Linked DNA regions of Notamacropus eugenii. The main gene of each other region encodes a partner of the protein of the gene in region 2 in a complex. Links are inferred from orthologs where the notes say so. Each region holds a gene or a part of one and is shown on either strand. Other genes may lie near its edges.

Region 1 (9,633 bases), on a different chromosome or scaffold from region 2:
CACACACACACACACATACACACACACATCACACCACCCTCACAACCCCTTCTCCAACCTGCAACATCTCTTTCTTTGAGATTTTTCCATCACTGTCCATGTCGTAGAGTTGAAAAGCAACTGGATGAGAAAAAGAAAGTAGGATCAGGACAGGGATGGGAGCCTCTTCAGTCCTGGCCTGTCCTCTGCTAGAGGCCCTGCTGCCCCAGGTCCAGACCATGCTACCATCACACAGTGGCTGGAATGGAAGATCTGGCTCCAGATTCTGACATCTCAAGGCTGTGACTCCCCATCCTCTTTGGCAGTGTGGTTCTCTCTTGGCCATGCCTAGCTTACCAACTGTCTCCAGCGCAGATTACCACCCACCAGGGTCCCTTCCCCAGGACCTACAGGATTAAGTTAGACAAGCAAGTATGAGGGATTTGTGAGGGAATATGAAGGATCATTGGGGCTCAACTGGGGACATCAGAGTGGTACCAGCCACCACCCTTGCCCTAAGGAGGCTTAGTTCCCTCCCACCCTAGTCACTTACCCCTTCTGTCTTTTCTCACATCACTGCCCAAGAGTCTAGGACACCACCATTCTTCCCAGCCTGAGAGTCACCCTGACTCCTCCCTCCCCTTCCCCCCAAATATCCAACCAGTCACCAGCTGTGGTGGACTCCAGCTGTGCAACACCCCTTCCATCCATCCCCTTTCTCCAAGGACTCCTGGGCATCACTCTACTGAAGTCCTCCCTCATCACCTCTCTCCTGGACTCCTGCCTTTACCTCCTAATTGATCTCCCATCCCCATCTCTCCTCTCCAATTCAGCCTCCCCAAAGCTTCCAAGCCACTTGGTTTAAATCACAGCTCGGAGCAGGCATGTAGTCGGCCTGCAGTCAGCCTTTCCAGGTGTACTAGTCCTACCATTGCTTCCTCCACACACTTTCTGGTCTACTCCAGCTGGTGCAATGGAACCTTTGCTTATAGCACCTTCCCTCCTGACCTCTGTCCCACCTCACCCTGGATTCCTTCCAAGCTTGCCAAAGAGCTGTCTCCTTCCTGCCTGAGGTCTATGTGGATCTTCCCACCCTGTATTACCTGCTCTATCTTCTGGTAACTTTCCCCTGAAAGAATTCTAGCTTCTTGAAGGAAGGGCCAAGTTAATGTTGGTCTTCCTATCCCACTGCCTGGCATGGTGCCTGGCATATGCTTTGAGTGAACGAATGCCACACAAAAATTGTTGGATTGTGTGCGATCTCAGACAGGCAGTCAATTTCTGCCCGTTCCTAAGGCACCTGCTGTGTGCCAAGTGCTAGAGATGGCTACCAAGCCCCATTCTTGGCCTCAGCGAGATTCCATTGACACCACATCTATATCAACAGGTGCGTACAGAATAGACATAAGGCAATTTGTCTGCCTGGGCCTTAGTTTTCTCATCTGGAGAATGGGGAGACTACATTGTCTGATATCTGAGGTCCCTGCCAGCCCAGGCAATCCCAGACCTGTCCTCATGTTCCAAGGCCCATGCCACAGGTTGATAGAAGCCCCTTGTCTCCACTGACGGGGCATGGGGACAAGTCACTTTCCTATTTCTCTTCCTACTTCCCCACACATACCCACTCAGTCACTAAAGTTCCCTCCAGCCTGCCTAGACCCCTGTGGCTGACGCCTATGGCCTTCCAGATCACTCTCCCTCTTCCCAGGAAGTTCAGGAACTGGTCCAGTCTTCTCCAGCTCCCAGGCCTGGCCTTGTCCAATTCCCTGGTTACTCGCCTCCTCATCCTCCTTCACTCCCAAGATCTTTAATTCTAGTTGGCTTCAGATTTGCATAGGAATATTTGGGATCTGGACTCCGAGCCTCTCCTCACCCTTGCTCAACTGTAATTGTCCCTGTTCAAAATACCCTAGTCATGGCATGGTGAGGAAGCAACCTTGGTGTCTGAGGTCATTGTTCAGATGGGGAAATTGAGGCTCAGAGAAGAGAAGAGACACACAGAGGCGAGGAAACAAGGGAGGTTAACGGTCAAAATGAGGATGGAGTTTCAGGGGACATGATTTTCCATGATTCCCCCCAATTCTACTCACAACGCAGTTTGCTGTTGCGGCTGTTTAGAGGCTCAGGCTTCTGGGGGTCCTGAGCAGCTGAGTCCTTTCCTTCCAATGGTCGAAAATGGGCCAGGACCCAGACAAAGCCTTGGAAATCCACACACTGACCCCTGAATGAAAAAGTCAGAATACCCTCCCAAGCTTCTATCCCCAAAAGAGGTAAAGGCTTCAAGGTCTGGGACCCAGATCTTTGATCTAAGCAAGAAAGAGTGAACTCTAATATAACCCTTCATCTTGATCCCGAAGGGTCTGACCCTCGGGGGCTCTCATCCTGTCAGTTCTGTTTCCTAGGGCTCCCCCTTCTTCCCCAAGGCTCCATCCACTCACCCTCACCCAAAGCTCTGTCCTCACCCATCCGGGAAAAAGCTGTCGATGATCAGATCTGCCAGCGGGTTCTGTTCAAGTTCTTTTATATTGTATAGATCCATTCGACTGTTGGGGAAGGAGTGAGAAGTTTCAGTGTCAAAAGTCTGGTCGGGAGACTTTGGGAGGGGAGAGGGAGAATAGAAGAGAAGGAACATTTTCATACGAGGGGAAAATCCTGCAGCATGCTTTCACATTGAGCTGAGGGGTCACAGGGGACACTGGATCAGGAGTCAGAGGCCAAGGCGATTCAGTCAATGGCTTGAAGGCTGGGCGTCCCAGTCCTATATGTTTGAGGGTCATAAGGGTGGGGTGGACTCTGCTCACCTCAGGAAGCCCTTATTATTCCTGTCCAAGTACCGGAAGCGGTGATGGAGGCGATTGAGATTGGCCCGAGAGACTGGACAGTGGGAAGAGAAAAGAGTCAGAGCTGGGTGCCGAGGGCCGAGGAAGAATCGGTTGGACCAGAAGAGACTCAAGGCTCAGAATTCTGGACTCAGGGATCAGAGGGTTCAAGGTCAAGATTTGGGACTGACTACTCAGAGACTGGGGGTCCCAGACTCAGAGTTCAGGATTTAGGAGACCAGCAACGACTCAAGATCCAGGAGCAGAAAACCAGGGACAGAGAGGCTGGAGCAAGAAGGGTTGGGCTAGGTGGTGGTGAGGCGGACGAGAATATATCAGCCCGCTTCCCCGGCTCAGCCCGCGCCCCACTCCCTCCAAAGCCCTCGGGGAAGGTGACCAAGAGAGCATCCCGCCCCACGTCCCCGCCAGTCCCCTTCAGCCGTTGGGGACTCTGGCGACAGGGAGCCGGGAAGCCTGTGTTTGGGTCCCAGTCCAGGCTCCTACTTGGGGATAGGCGGAGCTATGTCCCAGCCCCTCCACCCCAGTCCCTGCCAGTCCTTCAGGGCTCTAGGAGCCTCAGACACTTGGGTCCGCAGCAGTCCCACTCACAGCCGGTCTCCTCTAGGATCAAGTTCAATTCCGGCTCTCGTTCGAGGTGCGAGCCATGAGATCCCATGGCTGTGACGGTCCCTAGGTCAGGGCAGGTCCCGAGTCCAGGGTCCAGGGGCCTGGGGTCCCGACCCAGATAGGCTCAGGACAGAGTCCCACGTAGAAGCTCTGCCTCCTACACTCTCCCCGAGAACCCAGGCGTCACCGCAGCCCCTTCCTTAAGCAGTTCCTCTCCCTCCGAATGAAGACGCCGAACCCTGGAGAACGAGTTCCCCTCTCTGAGTTCGGAAGGTCGGAGGAGTCATCCAACTGCCGCCAGGCCATGCTGGGCTCGAGAATGCATTTAGGGTTCTCCCACATGCCTCAGTCGAAGTCCTCCAGTGCTACGGAAACAGAGGTTTCGCCTCAGTCGAGCCCCGGAGGAGAGAAAGTGAGGGGGTTAGAGAGAGCCAGAGCGGTATTCAGGACTGATCAAAAGGTGCCCGCTGCCAGACTTGAACAGGCAGAGGCTGAGAAGGGCACTTTACAGACGGGAAGCAGACCAACTCCAGAGGGGAAAGGGTTTGACTTGGCCTAAAGACCAGTCCGAAGCCTATCCCTCCCACAGACTCGTCTAAGCCCTCACCCTAAAAAGACCCCGATAGGACCCACCCCCCCGCCCCTCCAAGACTGCTTCCGACCTGCTCCTTTAAGACTGGAAGCACGGTCAGAGGGAATCTGAGAGACAACATGGCCTGCCAATGATCGAGAAGCAAAAACAAACGAAGAGAAAGACGAAAACGAAACAGAGACAGAGAGACACACTGGATGACAGAGAGAGATGCGCTGAAGGGAAACACACAAATACAATGGGGAGAGAAAAGAGCTGCTCTCATGCTCTGTAACTGATCAGTTCTCCTGAAGCCCGGGGGCGTTTGTTCTCTCTCTGTCTCTCTGTGTCTCTGTCTCTGTGTCCCTCTCTCCTCTCTCTCTCTGTCTTTGTTTCTCTGTGTGCGTCTCTCTCTTCCTCTTTCTCTCCCTCTTACTATGGTTTGCTCTTAGTCAAGGCTCAGGATGTGAGGAATGATTCAAACTTTTGTTTCCATAGAAATTATGTAATATATGATTTATGAAATCTAGGGTATTGATACATACTGGGAAGTTTTTTGAGTTGCAAGTGCAGGAAAATAAATTAATTGTAGAAGACTAACAACATAGACTAGTACTAGATTATCTTGTAGCCGAAGAAGAGGGAAAATTGAGATGTAATGGAGAACTTTGTTTCCCTAAATTCAGAATAACAGTCAGCAACATGGGAGACATAAGGAAGGAGTTATGTCTCACACGTAGGCTAACAGGCAAAGCAAGGATCCAACTGGTTTTTATCGTGTTTTGGGTTAGAAGTCAGCTAAGTAGAGGAAAAGTTAAGTCTTGCTTGAAATGCTCATGTCTATTAGGAATATTAACCTCCTCTGGGAGAGCTAAAGCTTCATTTTAATGGTCTTACAATACATGAAATGGGAGGGGAAAACATGAGAGGGAGAGCTATGTAGTAGGCATAGGGGAAAGTTGTACTCCCTGTATTACCCAGCCAAGGAGGAAACAGGAGAGGGACTTTGTGGGTGGCCACAGGTTTTTAAGGTTTACTTTTGTTTCTGGATGGTGTGTCTATTTTATAAGCCACCATCACTGCAGTTAGCTTAATAAACTTTTCTTTTATCTTCATGCCTCCCAAACCTGAATGTGTTATTTCTCACAAGGAGACAAAAGGAGAGGTTTTGGCCCTGTACCTGCAATGGAATAACAGACTTTCAGAAAGATAGAAGTGTTCTGTCCAACTCATCTGAGACATGGAGATAAAACAGAGAGGCAAAGATCTGAAATATAAAGGTCAGAAGAAGAAAGGGAGGAAGAGAGAAGAGGAGAGAGCCAGGTGGGCAGGGAGAGGGAGCAGAAGGGATTGAGACTGGGGAGGGAAGGAGAAAGACACAAGGACAGACAGAAACAGGCAGAGTCCTACAGAAGCAGGAAGAACATACAGAGAAGCAAAGGCACAAAAGAAATTTTTAAAAAGACATAAAAAGAAACTGGCAAAAACAGAGAATAAAACTAGAGCCACATGAGATAAAGAAACCAAGTCAGAGCCAGAGATTTGGCAAGAAGCAAAAACCCCCAGAGAAGAACAGGAAAAAAAGCCCCAGGAGATGCTCAGATGTCAATAATGGTCACCAACTCTCAGAGTGAGAAGGGAGCTGAAGTGCCTCCAGATTTAGGGAGACCTGAAAGACCCTCCCTCCCCCTCCTCCTCCTCCCTCTCCTCTTCCTTTCTCCCTTCCCCCTCCTCCTCACCCCTCCTCCTCCTCTAGCTTCACTGAGCTAGCCCATCCCACTTTGGGCTCACTCTGATGAATGGTTAGAACCTCCCCCACCCCTACACCAAACCGAGGTTTGCCCTTTTCACTGTCTGGTTCCCTCCCCCAAAATATTCCCCTGTCTGTCCTGCCCTCTGAGGGCAAGCAGAGGAGCAATTCCTCATCCATCAGCTTGTCTTCAAGGGCCTGGAGGACAGATAGTCATCCCCAGAAGTTTCCTCTTTTCCAGGCTTAGCATCACAAGTCCTTGGGTTGCATTTTAAAATGTCTCTGAGGCCCCTTCACCTTCCTAATTGTCCCATCTGTCCTCCTACGCTGGGACACCCCTTATTGAACACAGCATTCCATGTGTGGTTGGACCAACCCAGGGAACAGTAAGAAAGGTGATCCCAAGATCCTCTTAATGCAACTTCAAGGAGCATTACAGTTAGACTTGGTTTCCTACACTGTCTTGTAGAGAAAGCATGGTATGGTAAAGGAAAATGAATGAAAGAATGTATAAATGAATGAGTATCATTGTGATGAATACTGTGTGAAGTATTGGGGCAGCTGGTAGAGGCTGGTCCAAGTGGATTGTTCCATTTTTAGGACTCTTCATTTAGTCATTTGGAAAACACAGGGGTCAATCAGCTCTCCAGTTCAGCTGACATTACTCTTAGCTTCGAAAGAATTGGTGTTAACTACAGCAGAGTGTTTTAACACATTGTTGTCTCCTTGAGATGATAGATAGTGGCTTTAATAATGAATATTTGAAAGGGAACTTAACTGTATTTTGCTCTGTTGTGCCAATAGGACACTGGGAAGGAAGTCCAGAGCAGCTATAAAATTGTTAGAAAATCACCCTTTTGCAGTAGGAAGACAAGAAGAAGACAGCCAGGGTGAACAGCTGTGAATCGTGGTTTGGCCTGGTTAACGGGGTGTGTCCAACCCCTGCTGGCTCTGTGACCAAGCGAGCCAGATAATTCTCTGATATTGGCAATGCAGGTGCCCTTCCGCCTTGATAGGAGAAGATCCCTCACCGAGAATTTTCCTCCACAGATGAGATCACAAATCTAGATGAAAATAACAACAGAGCGAGCAGCAACAGCAACACGGCTGACCCCAAACCCTTCTCAGCTGAATGGCTGTCGAGTCATACTTGGCCATTTTACTTTAGCCATTCCTGGCTATCTCACACTTTTGTAACTTTTCTTTCTCAGCCTTCTTTGCTCAACCTCTGTCAACTATGTGATAGTTGTGGGTGTCCCCCAGGTCTCTGTCCTGAACCTGCTTCTCTTCTCCTTCAATTTTACTTGATGATCTTATCAGTTCCCATAGATTTATTTCTTCTCTTTATGCTGATAATTCTCAAATCTATTTATTCAGCCTTCAGTATTAATTCAGTATCTCATCTCCAACAAGACATTTCAACCACACCCAAGACTGAACTTAGCACCTTTCCCTAAAACGTTCCCCTCTTCCTAATTACCAAGGAATCCCAAATTCCCAATTATTATCAAGGGTACCACCGGTCCCACTTACCTAGACTCTCAATTTAGGGGTCATCCCTTCATACAGTCACATCAAGTCCTATTGTTTCTATCTGTAACATCTGTCAAATATGGCTCTTTTTCTCCTCTGCCCCTTATCACCTGAAGCCTGGACTATTGAAATAGATGCTGGTTGATCTTTCCACACTTGAATCTATCCTTCAGCTGTCCAACTGATGTACCTTAAAGCCTAAAGTCTAATCATGTCATTTTCCAAGTCAGTAGGGGCTCTCTATTACTTCAGGGATTGAATATAAAATCCTCTATTAGTCCCCTCCAACCTTTGCAGCCTTCCTACATCCTATACCCCAGTATGTGTCCTGTAGTCCAATGACACTGATGGCTCTCTTCCTGGCACAATGTGCCATCTCCTAACTTAAACCACTTTCACTAATAGTTTCCCCCCCTCCCCTTCCTCACCCCTGCTTCCTCTGGTCCTCTTGAATCTTCATATCTGCCCTTGGTTGAGTATGGCCAGCTTCTCCTGGCTGTAGCTTGTTTGCATGAGTTTTTTCATGTTGTCTCCATGAGAGCAGAGACTGTCTTTTACCTTTCTTGGTATCCCCATTACTTAGCACAATGCCAAGCATATAGTTGGGGGCTTCACAGATGCTTGCTAACTTGTGCAACTAATTTACTGGAGCCCAAGTATCAGACTTTACACTTGTCATTTTTGACAAGAAATTGGAGAGAAATAAGCAACCACAGAATCGTCCCAGCATTCGAAGGACTTAACATTCTACTTACTGGGAGTCGGGAGAAGAGAGGATGTGTCTTTTCAGAGATGGCAGTGAATCCACCAACCTGATCATTTGGCAATGGAAGTCTGACACATTCCTATCTGGAAAGTTTCTTTCCCTGGTAGTCAGTGTGGGGGGAATGACACACTCGACATCAGGAAGACAAGGATTCAAACCCTGCTTAAGCCCTTGTTAGCTTGTGTGATGGTGGGCAAGCCACTTTCTCCATCTGTCAAGTGGGTATGATCACACCTCATTCACAGAGTCATCAGAGGAACAAATGAAAAAAGTCTATCTTTGCAAGTTTGAGGCACCATACGGATCAACTCTTAAGGCCCACAAGTGAGCACCCACTCACTCCTAGAAGGCCTCCAGGAAGCCCCACTTTGAAATGGACTGCATTTTCCCAGAATTAGGTTTAGATTCCATGGTCGTTGAGGTAACTCATTCTGTGCTCTTGTGCATGACCGGGGCTGCAACACAGTGATTATTCCTCATGTCCCATACAAGAAGATCTTCAGGAAGGGCAAGGTGCAGCATATGGACTGTTTGCCACTTTTTCTTCTTATAATTGGACAGAAGTATTGATAGCATTCGTTAATTGTGAGGATGACTCACAGAACCCCATTAGGGTTAGGGATGATGAACAAACTGGTTGCCTGGGTCAGAACTGAAGAAGAGCTTGGCAGGCTAGAATATTTGGAAGCATCTAGTAAGATGGAATTGAATGGATTAAATTTAAAAACTGTTACATAGATTGTGGAAACATTTGAGCTTTTGGTCTACTTTTCTCAATTGAGTTACTGTCTCATCCGGGTTTTGAATACTTTTCCAGTTCATTTGTTCAAATGGTACTGAATCCACCAGATGATATTTTAATCTCTGTCTCTCCACCCTTTCACGAGGATGCCATGAGAGGTTTCTATCACATGCTGTGCTAAAATTTAGATGAAATTTACATATCACTATGTGAAAAATGGCACAAGTAGAGGAATGAGAGGAAGCAGGGTGACCAATTCAGAGGCCATTGAATCATTAAAGTGAGAGATAACGAGGGACTGAACTAGGGTGAAGACAACTAGGTGGATATCCACAGTGGATAGAGTGCCAGGCCTCAAAGATGTTTTTCTGAGTTCAAATCCAGCTTCAGGCACTTAGGAGTTACAAGTTTTATCTTTCCATATAGGGATGTAAACAGTTTTTGAATTCCTTATGATTTCTCTTTTCTGTTTATCTTTTTATGCTTTTCTTGAGTCTTGTATTTTAAAGTCCATTTTTCTGTTCAGCTCTGGTCTTTTTATCAGGAGTGCTGGAAAGCCCTCTTTTTATTACATGTCCATTTTTATCACTGAAGGATAATATTCAGTTTTGCTGGGTAGGTGATTCTTGGTTAAAATACTAGGTCCATTGTCCTCTGGAATATCATATTCCAAGTCCTTTGATCTATTAATATAGAAGTTGCTAAATCCAGTGTAATTATGACTGTGGGTCCACAAAATTTGGATTGTTTTTATAGCTATTTGCAATACTTTCTCCTTGATCTGGGAGCTCTGGAATTGGACTAGAATGTTCCTTGCAGTTTTCATTTTGGTATTTCGTTCATGAG
Region 2 (10,279 bases):
ACAAACTTGCTACAATTACAATGCCCAAGCGGAATAGGCCACCTTAGGAGGTAGCAAGTGGTCCCTCCAGGGAGGGCTGGCTGACCATTCATCTAGGATGCTATGAAGGGCATTTCTGTGCAGGTATGGGTATGAGAACCTAGGGCAGGGGTGGGGAACCTAAAGCCTGGATGCCACACATAGCTTCCCAGTGCTGAAGGTTCCTCACTCCTGCCCCAAGGGGCAGCAAGGTGGTACAGTGGATAGAGTGTCAGGCCTGGAGTCAGAAAGACTCCTCTCCTTAGTTCAAATCTGGCCTCAGACACTTCCTAGTTGAGTGACCATGGGCAAGTTACTTAACCCTGGTTGCCTCAGTGTCCTCATCTGTAACATGAACTGGAGAAGGAAATGGCAAACCACTTGAGTACCTTTGCCAAGAAAACCCCAATGGGCTCACAAAGAGTCAGACACAACTGAACAACATGAGGACCCTTTCAACCCGGAGATTCAGTGGTTTTAGAACCTAAGCCTGGAGGAGACACTGCAGACTGGCCAAGAGCTGCAGGCACACTCGGTTCCTGGGCTATTTTTCAATCAGCTGCACCTGCAGAAGTGGTAGTGAGTGCTAAGCCCTGCCTCACACACTGAGGCCCTGCCCAAATGTGTCCATGGGAGGAGGGAAAGATTTTTTACTTATACTTATGTTCGTGCCGCTGAAGTCTGTTTTCATGGACTCAAAAGGCGGACACATCATAGTCACATCAAGGTGCCCCAAAGCCAGAACCTTAACGCTCACATCCATGCCTTTGTACATGGACAGTACAGTTTGTACTGTCCTTTATTACCATGTATGCCAGGTAGTAGTATCGGCCACTGGGAAGCCCCGGTTCCCTTCAAGCATCACCTCATGCACTACATCTCCAAAGGACACCTTCCTCCTTAAATTACATTTACATATTGCAAAACATAAGCTATTGGAAGGCAATGGGTTTTCATTTTGTCTTCCTCTTGTCATCTCTGGCACCAAGTACACTGCCAAGCTCATTTATTATTGGGCTAGACTTGTGATTCCACTGACACAGAGAACTCTTGGTAAGAAAATGCCAGGCAACTGTCCTGTAACTTCATCTTAAGAGAGACGCTGAGAACACTGAAGGGTGAGGGACTTGTCCAGGGTCACTCAGCCAGGCAGGGTCAGCAGCAGGACTTGACTCTAAGGCCAGCTTTAATCTAACTGCATCGTCACACCAGTCACTTAATGCCCGATGGATTAAACTGATTGATAAGACAATTGGCATGGTCTCTACCTCAAGAATCATTCCCACTTCACAGAAGGTGAGACTGGGGCAGAGAGAAATTCCATCCTGCCAAGGTCACAGGATTGTTTGGATTGGAAGCTGAGGCTGCTTGACTCCAGACTACTGCCTCATAAGTAGGTGCTGCTGCCTGCAGGAAATTCAGCTGCAGTGGAGGCGCCGGAAGTGTAAACTAGGACCAGGGTCCCAGGCAGCAGGGCCTCTGCCCATCTTGCCTGGGTGCATATCATATTCCTATACCAAATTAGCTATACAGTGAATCAGAAAAGTCAGTACTACCTTTTTGCATCACTATCTAAAACCCAACATCCTGACATCACTCCTGCATGTCCTTGGGAAGGTTCTCCACCAAGCCCCTGGAACATCCAGGTCACCAAAACTCCTACAGCTGGCCCAGGGCCAAACTAGCTTAAAAGGCTTCCCTGATGCAAAATCAGTCAGGGATTACTGGCCATCACAGGGTCCAGACAGGCTGGTCCATCAATCACCCATGTGACACTGGCTCAGTTCACCTGGGCCTCTTCAGGAAGGAGCCACTTTTCAGTCACTAATCCTCCCCAGCCACCCACAATCACTTCTCCAACCAGGATGTCCCTTCCATAGTGCTAAGGACCTTCACCCATCCATCCAGTTCCGGCAGCTCCCAGGCCAGCACCATGGCCAGGCACAGGCTGAGTTTTAAGAAACAGCTAAGTACACACTTGGGACTGATCTGGTAACTAGCCAAGATGAGGCAGACTCCTCCCCAAGCACATATCCAGTTCAGAAATTCCCAAGGTCTACCCAGCCCCATAAGCTGAACAGAGGACAGCATTATAGACACACAAATCATCTCCAGGCTATTCCCAATCAGGCCAGGATGCAAAGCTGACTGCTAAATCTTGGGAAGTGGAACATGGACACAGGAAACACCTGCATTTTCAGTGAACCTCTGAACTCCTAAAGCCCCAGTGGCTGAGATGTCTTAGGGTTCCCAAGATGGGCAGAGGATTGCTGAGAATGGGAAAACAAACTCCTGAGAAGAGTCCTAGACCACCTAAGCACGGGGTCCACCTGGGATTCAAGTAAGTCAGAAAAGAAATACAAACCACCCAGGGCCTCAGTCCCATAGATGACTGCCACTAGGCAAAATGGAAGGTATTCACAGCAAAAATAGAAACAAAAAAGACCACATTCCTCACCACCAAATAACCATCTGGCACTTCGGACCCCAGTGAAAGCGTCACTAGCCTTCACACACACAGAAGGCACAACCAAATCTGTCCCTTAGGCCTGCCCATGCAGTCCTGTCAGAGACTCTGGACCCTTCAGTAATGTCAGAGAAAACAGCCCTGCTGAAAGAATTAGGACTATAGATTTCTGACAGTTGGCCTCAAAAACCCCAGGCTGGGGCAGTGGGGAGCTCTCCCCAACCCACTGGGGTGATTCTATTTGCACAGTACATCCTCCAATCCCTACCACCCAGCTTAGACAGAAGTCACACAACATACCCAGCTTCATCAGACAGGCTAGCAGGATCCAGAGGGAGATCTCAAAGGGGGTCCGCACGTGAGTGTAGTCAATGCCCAGGACAGGGAAAGGCTTGCGTGGCTTCCCGTGAACGGTTCCCGAATAGTTGGTCATCGGGTGGACTTCGTGGCTGACCTCTGGTGGAGCTGAGGTGACATCCCCCTCCCCAGGACCTATGTACAAGCCCATGGTGGACACTTTGGATGTCACTGTATTCTGCAGCCCATGGCTCCTCAGTACTGGAAGCAGCCCCAGCAGGGCAGCCACCACAAACACGGAGGGGAACACCCGGAGTGGTGAGAGACCACAGAAGCCAGGCCCTGTCATCTTCTTAAGTTGTTCTTTGAGGGGAGGGTCCCTCCCACCTCAACAAGGGAAAAGCAGAGTCTGGGACATAGGCAGCAAAGAATCTAGGGAGAAGTCTGGAAATCAGAGAGCCCAAGAAAAGAAATAAACTAGTAAGGGGAGGCGGGGGATGGAATAAAGACAAAACAAAACAAGGATTACTAAGGCAAGCTCATGTTTTAAAAGGATAAGGAACTGCTCTTCTTAGAGGGAGGAGAGTTGTGGGGTCGGGTGAAAAGGGATGTGCACAGACCAGGGGGGAAGGAGGAGAGAGGGGACCAGATTTCCATATGAGGGAGGAAAGGAAAAGAAAGCTGAGGAGCCTGGGAATCCCGGAGCTGAGGGGATGAGAGGGAAGAAGAGGGAGGACTGGGATTCCCAGCTATGGGCAAGGAGAGAGAGCTAGGTCTCCCCTCCACCGAGGAGGAGAGGGAGGAAGGGAAGTTAGGAGGCCAGGTGGAAAGGAGGAGGTAGAAGAGGGAAGCGAGACTGAGGAGAGGGAGAGAGGGGCTGGGACCCCAAAGCTGGTGAGGGGGCAGAGATGAGGCTGGGACCCCCCCAGTGGGGAAGGGAAGGGGAGGCTGGGAGCCCGCAGTGGAGAAGGGGAGGGGAGGATGGGACCCCGAAGTGGGGGAGGGGAGGCTAGGACCCCCCAGTGGGGAAGGGGAAGGGGGAAACCGGGACCCCGGGCAGGTGAGCGCAGCCCCGGAGCTGGGGAAGAGGCCGGTGGCCGGGCGTGCCGAGGTGAGGTTCCCCGAGAAAGGGCGGGGTGCGGAGGCGGGGAAGGGGCTCCGGCTGCTGGGGGCGGCTCCAGAGGGCCGAGAGAGCCCCCCGAGAGAGCGTAGCCCCAGCTCGGCGCCCCCGGCCCTAAGGCTCCTGCTGATCCCCCGTAGCTTAGGTTCCAGGTCCGGCAGCAGCGAACTAAGCCCACCGTCCACCCGGCACCGCCTTTTATACGTACCACAGAGCTGCCGGCGCGGCGGGCTAGAGAAACACCGGCGGAGTCCGCCGCGCCACAGCGCCTCTTAGCGGCGCTCCGGGAGGTGTGCAGGGGGCTGCAGCCGACTGTCCAAGTCTGGACTCAGGACATCGGACCTAGAGTCAATCTGTACGGCTCTGTGCCTCAGCTTTCCGTGGAAATTGAATGGAAGGTGTAAGGAGAACCGCCTGAAGGGTCAAGGGCAGGGAGACAGAGGTAACAGGGTGGGCAGCTCAGTCAGCATGCGTTTAATAAGGGCTTGCAATGTGCTAAACTCCAGGGATACCAAGAAAGGCGTAAACGTTGCCTGACCTCAAGGAACTTGTATTCTAATGGGGGAGACAGACACAAAAGCAAGAGATGCACGTGCTACATATAGGGAGTGCGTGGAGGGGGATCTCAGAGCCAAAGGCACTCCCTTAGCCTGGAGATGGACCTGAAGCTGAGTCTTGACGGAAGCCAGTGACTAAGCGTAGAGGTGACGGAACAGCATCCCCGGCATGGGGGACAGTCAGTGAGTACAAAGACATGCATGGCGCAGGGAGGCATAAGTAAGGAAGATCAAGCAGGAGGGCCATTATGGCTGGGAGCAAGGTGTAAGAAGGCTGGTAAAGTTCGTATTTTATCCCGGAGGTACTAGGGAGCCACTGCATGTCATATCTGGGACACTTTAAGAAAATCCTCTGGGCAGCTGAGTGGAAGTAGAATTGGAGTAGGGAGAGATGAACTAATTAGAAGGTTATCACAATAGTCCAGGTGTGAAGGGATCAAGGCTGCACAGATGTAGTGACTGAATGAGTAGGACAGAACAATCTTGAGATGCGGCAATTGAGACGTGGGATTGAGGGTGATAGTGGAATCAAGGCGGGCACAGAGGTTGGGAGCCTGGGTGACTGGGGGAGCACTTACTTAAATGTGTCAGACCCTGTGCCAAACTCAGGATTGAAAAAAAGAAAGGCAAAAACATTGTTCCTGCCCTCAAAGAGCTAACATTGTAACAACGGAGACAACATGCAAATAACTATGTTATTTACATGCTATGTAAGAGGAAGTCAATTCCAAAAGGTGCCTTCCTTTTGGCAGGGGGAGAGGAATGGAGAAAGACCTCTTGTGCCTCTTCCAGAAAGTGAGATCCGAGCTTTCTTAAGTCTTGTAGAAAGTCAAGATAGAGATGCCCTGGACAGTAAGAGGAGAGTACAAAGGAGGGAAAGATTAGGGATGGGGGTGGGGGGTGCCAAGACAAGATCAAGGATTCCATATTGGACATGCTGAGTTTGAGAAAGCTGGGAGGAAATCCAGTTCAAGATGTCCAAGTTGTATTTGGTGACACAGGGATTGAGAAAGACTATGGCTGGATAAATAGATCTTGGAATCATTTTCATTGGGGTGAGGGAGCTGGTGAGTCAGTCAGTCAATAAACGTTTATTAAGCACGGACTATGTACCAGACACTGCGCTAAATGCTGGGGATACAAATTAGAAAAAGAAAAACACTACCTTCCCTTAAGAAGCTTCCAATCTAATGGGAGAATACAATACCCAAAAGACGACCAAAGGTGGGAGGGTGGGGGGAGATAGTGGAACCCAGACCAAGTAGGGCAGCTGGTGAGAAATGCAGTTGCTAACCTGAGAGCCTCTCTTTAAAATGGAGGTTTGGGAAGGAGTACTTTGCTCTAGCGCTCCAATCCAAGAGGCATAGGGTATTGAGGGCACTGATGAACTAAGTGTGAATTCCAAAGCTGATGCAATCTCAAAGGCAGGGGATGGATTTCCTGGTATTGAGGTTTCTTAGGCGCGTGATCATGGTAGAGTCCAGTTTGAGGATTTCAGCTGGTAGGAAATGCAGATCTAAAGGATCTAAAACCAACTAGAGACCTTCAGGTTTTACCCTTTGTTTTACCGAGAGGAAAGTGAGGGCCAAAGAAGGGTAGTGATTGATATATAGTTTCCTTTGATATATAGTTTCCTACCTAATCAATGTCAAAGCAGTATTCAAACTCAGGTCTTCTGACTCCAAATCCATTGTGCTCATGGACTATAAAATCGATGAATCATCCATGAGTGGGAGGTGTCAGTAGCTGATGAGAGGACCCATGTTCAGGACCCAAAGCAAGAAGTAGTAGAGCAAGGGGTTCCAGGGAAGAATTTTCTTGGAGCTGGGGTAGGGGAACAGCAGAAAGAACTACCACTCTTTCTCAGCCGCTGAATCATCTCGGCTGACACCCTAAGCTGATTTGTTTCCTAAGGGCTTTCCCTATTTGACCTCCCTCTTCTCCATTCTTTGAGTACCAGCCAGGGAAGGAACCAAACCCCAATCTCTGTGACAGTCCTCCCAGCCCTGAGGCACTAGGACCAGGAAATGCCAGCCCCGGAGATGCTGAACAGCCTGGAGAAGGTTATAACAACAGTACTGTAAAAGGTAGGCCACGAGACACCACCAGGGTTAGCCACACCTGGCAAAAACAGGTATGAAAGAAAAAAAAAATGCATATGCCCTCTACATATATGGTCAAGGGGGAAAAGTCTATCTGAGCAACAGCTGTGCCATGAGGCAGCAAAAGGAGCATTGGACTTGGAGTCCTAAGACCTGGATTGAAATCATGACTTTGCCGCTTGCTAACTGGGTAAACCAAGGCAAATCACATAGGCTCACTCAACTCCTGTTTCCTAGGTGTCCTAGAGACAGCCAGGAGGTACAGTGGACAGAGCACTGGACAGAGTTAGGAGGACCTGAGTTTTAACTGTACCTTTGACACTTGCCAGTCCTGTGACCCTGGGCAAGATCTACCTCAGTTTCCTCATCTATAAAATGAAAGGATTAGACTAGATGGCCTCTAAAGTCCTTTCCAACTCTAAATCGATGTACATATTATGTCATTTCCTTTGTCTGGGCTTTTGTTTCCCCCAGAATAAAAATGAGGAGGATGATACTAATGCTACATGCCTCAAGTCAGCAAGCATTGGTTAGGTGCTTCCTATGAGCCAGACCTCAAATCTGGCCTCAGACACTTATTCGTTGTGTGACCCTGGACAAGTCACTTTAACTCTGTTTGCCTCAGTTTCCTTATCTGTAAAATGAGCTGGAGAAGGAAATGGCAAAGCACACCAATATCTTTGCTAAGAAAATCCTAAATGAGATCACCATGGGATGACTGAAAGACTTAACTGAAAAATATGCCAGGTATGGGCAAAGTGCTGTAGAATACAAAAACAAGAAGAAACATAGTTCCTACCCTCAGGGAAATTTTATTCTAATGGGGAAAGATAACAATACTAGGGAGCTGAAAAGAGAAGGAGGGGAAGGAGAGTTACTCTTCACTCTGGAACCATGAGCCATGCTTGAGCTGGGTGGGGTTTGAAGTGAGCCTGTGGTTGGCATGGATGGTTCCTCAAATATAAATTCCCAGGAGGAACTCACCCAAGGGATTGTCCAGGGTATTGTCAGCTGGAACATGGTGGTAAAGAAAGAAATAGGGGCTTATATATCACCTACAATGTCATCTCATTTGATGTTCACAACAACTCTGGGAGGTAGGTGCTATTATGATCCCCATTTTACAATTGGGGAAACTGAGGTAGAGGTAAAGTGACTTTCTCAGTTTAAGTGGCTTTTGAACTCAGATCTTCTCCTGAGTCAAGGCCCAGGGCTTTATTCACTGTACCACCTAGATACCAGAGAATTAGCTTCTAATCTTATAGGGTTGCTGTAAGGAAGCCCTTTTTAAGCCACAAAGAGACCTTTGAGTAGGGGCTTGAAGGCCAACCTGACAGGGATGTGACGGTGGGGATTCCTGTTCAAGTAAGGACCGAACTAGATGATCACTGAGGATGGCCTTCCCCCCTGAGATTCTGTGAGTCTTTGCCATGGTAAAGGAAGTTTCTGTACCTGTGAATGGATAATAGCAGCTAACATTTTATGGTTTGCAGAGTACTTTACATATGTTTTCTTAGATAGGCTCTTGTCCCTGTTTTACAGATAAGGAAACTGAGGCTAGAAATGTTAAGTGACCTGCCCAGGATAACACAGTTAGAGTCTGAGATAGGATTTGAATCCAAGTCTTCCTTACTCTACATCCATTACACGGGGCAGTGGGAAATTTTAAATTGCTCTTATCTGATCTCCCATCTCTCACAACCAGGAAGGAAGAAAGAAATGAAGGAATGAAAGAAGGGAAGGAGAGAAGGAAGGAATGAGGGAGGGAAGGAAACAAGGAAGGAAGGAAGGAAGGAAGGAAGGAAGGGAGTCTTCCAAGAGCTTACATTCTCATTCTAAGATGAGGGGCACAAGAGGAGAATGGGGCAGCTGCTTAATATATTTTTGATTTGATTACTGTACCCAGAGCTGGAGGTGGAGAGGGAGAAAAGAGCAGTATTATACTCCACATAGTGGCAAGGAGGATGGCTAGATGGGATTTGAAGTTGGATCTGCTGTTGGGGCATGTTAAGTATGGTTGGCTAGGTGAGTCTACACTTACTCATTCAATAATCAAGACAGCTCAGTCCCAGGGCAGAAGTTCCAAAGGTGAGTGGATTGACTGCCCTAGAGCCTGGGGCCAAAATTTCTATAGGTCCCATCTGGAGAATGCATATCCAGGTGGAGAGAGGATGAGGGGGCAGCATCTGAACAGGCAGCCAGATGGCTCAGAAGGACAGCTGGATGGAGTATATCTGTTGAAATGATGGGGGAAACAGAGTTCCAAATAAAATGACCTAAGAAAATTTTCATACAATTGTGCCCAGGGAAGACTTCAGAGAGGAGTGGGTACCTTTCAGCAAGATCCACAAAGTCAACTCTCGTGACCAATGGAATAACATGCTGCAGCCAGTCTCCAAAATACAAGAGAGTCCCTTATCAATAGGTCTTTCTTTCCTGGGATGCCCTCCTACCTTCTTTCCAGTTATCTAATTCTAACCATCCTTCAGGGTCTAGCTCAAGTGCCCTTTTCTTTTTTTTTCTTTTATTTTTTTTAAAGACTGCACCTCCCTAGCCTAGAAGCACAGTGGCCACTCTCAGGCCCACTGCTACCACAGATGGGCATGGGAGCTTTGACTTGCTCAGTTTCTGATTTTGGCTGATTGCTCCAGGCAACCCAGCAGCTCACCACACTGATGCCAAACAGTTCAGACTCCCTGATTGTCATAGTCCATTGAAACTCAGAACTCCTGAGCTCAAGAGATCCATCATCCTCAGCCTTCCCAGCAGCAGGGCCTATAAGTGGCCACCACCATGCCCAACTCAAGTGCCTCTTAAGAGAAGCATTTTCAGACCACCCCAGCCCTGTTTTGAGCTCTACCTCCAATGAAATCCAGCAGCACTAAGTTAGCTAGCCTGTTATTTGATGGTATCATAATGTAGTGAAAAGAATCAGGAGTGATATGACCAGAATTTTAACCCAAGGCAATGAAACATAAAAGGCATAGATATCAGTTGTGCCCCTTTAGCAGCAATTGAGCTTAGCATCTAGTTAACAAGAATAATTAGCTAAAATGAGAAACTACCAGATGGCCACTCCCTCCCCTCCCCACCCTCCACTACTAGAGTCATGCCCCAAGTTGGCCCCTCCCTGGTCCAGCTTTGCCTTTTGAACAATCTACTCAGCATAAGGCTTCCAATGTCCTATAAATAACTGCAGTGTCCTGGGATCTTGGTCTCCCCTTCACTCCCACCCCCAGACACTCACCATCAGGCAGCCTTGCCATTTCTCCCAACTGAATTTATCTTCAAATGTTGAGCTGGTGGCACATGTTGTTTAGCTTGCCTTGGGCACCAAAATTCCTAGTGATAGCTCTAGAAAGAGACCTACATCTGTAGATAAAGGACATGAGTACAAATTTCATCTCCATTATTACCCATGTAACCTTGGATGAACAACTCGACCCTTGTCTTCCTCATTAAAACAAAGGGGTTGAAGTAGATGGTTTCTGAGGTCTTATCTGCCTCTAAATACCATGATCCTACATTATCTTACTGTGTAATACCACAGTGAACTAGAAAAATGACTGGGTTGAAAGTCAGGAGACCTGAATTCAAGTCCCAGCTCTAACTATATGACTTTGGACCCTAATTTCCTCCTCTATTAAATGGGGAAGTGGGGGGAAGAATACCTGTACTTCCCAGGACTGTTGGGAAGAAAGCTCTCATTGGGTAAGAA

Evidence for each region. Proteins that work in one complex are often made in the same cells at the same time.
Region 1: the proteins of SLC9A1 (region 2) and CHP2 are in contact, whole or in part, in a crystal structure (PDB 2BEC), measured with the Homo sapiens proteins. The link is inferred for Notamacropus eugenii from reciprocal best matches to the Homo sapiens genes SLC9A1 and CHP2. Residues at the interface, in NP_003038.2 of Homo sapiens: Ser517, Ile518, Asn519, Glu520, Ile522, His523, Thr524, Gln525, Phe526, Leu527, Asp528, His529, Leu530, Leu531, Thr532, Gly533, Ile534, Glu535, Asp536, Ile537, Cys538, Gly539, His540; in NP_071380.1 of Homo sapiens: Arg30, Arg34, Leu38, Leu51, Ile54, Ala56, Leu57, Asn60, Pro61, Leu62, Ile66, Phe70, Phe83, Leu87, Phe90, Tyr118, Ala119, Leu122, Tyr123, Met136, Val139, Leu140, Met143, Ile156, Arg159, Thr160, Glu163, Ala164, Phe177, Ser180.

The regions. Positions count from the first base shown.
Region 1 is NC_092874.1:489,501,587-489,511,219, reverse strand, and holds the start of CHP2 (calcineurin B homologous protein 2), read right to left. Parts: upstream 4,578-9,633; 5' UTR 3,475-4,577; coding exon 3,408-3,474; intron 2,854-3,407; coding exon 2,781-2,853; intron 2,523-2,780; coding exon 2,442-2,522; intron 2,201-2,441; coding exon 2,070-2,200; intron 121-2,069; coding exon 59-120; intron 1-58. UniProt on the Homo sapiens protein: Functions as an integral cofactor in cell pH regulation by controlling plasma membrane-type Na(+)/H(+) exchange activity.
Region 2 is NC_092876.1:68,266,909-68,277,187, forward strand, and holds the start of SLC9A1 (sodium/hydrogen exchanger 1), read right to left. Parts: upstream 4,089-10,279; 5' UTR 3,132-4,088; coding exon 2,786-3,131; intron 1-2,785. UniProt on the Homo sapiens protein: Electroneutral Na(+) /H(+) antiporter that extrudes Na(+) in exchange for external protons driven by the inward sodium ion chemical gradient, protecting cells from acidification that occurs from metabolism.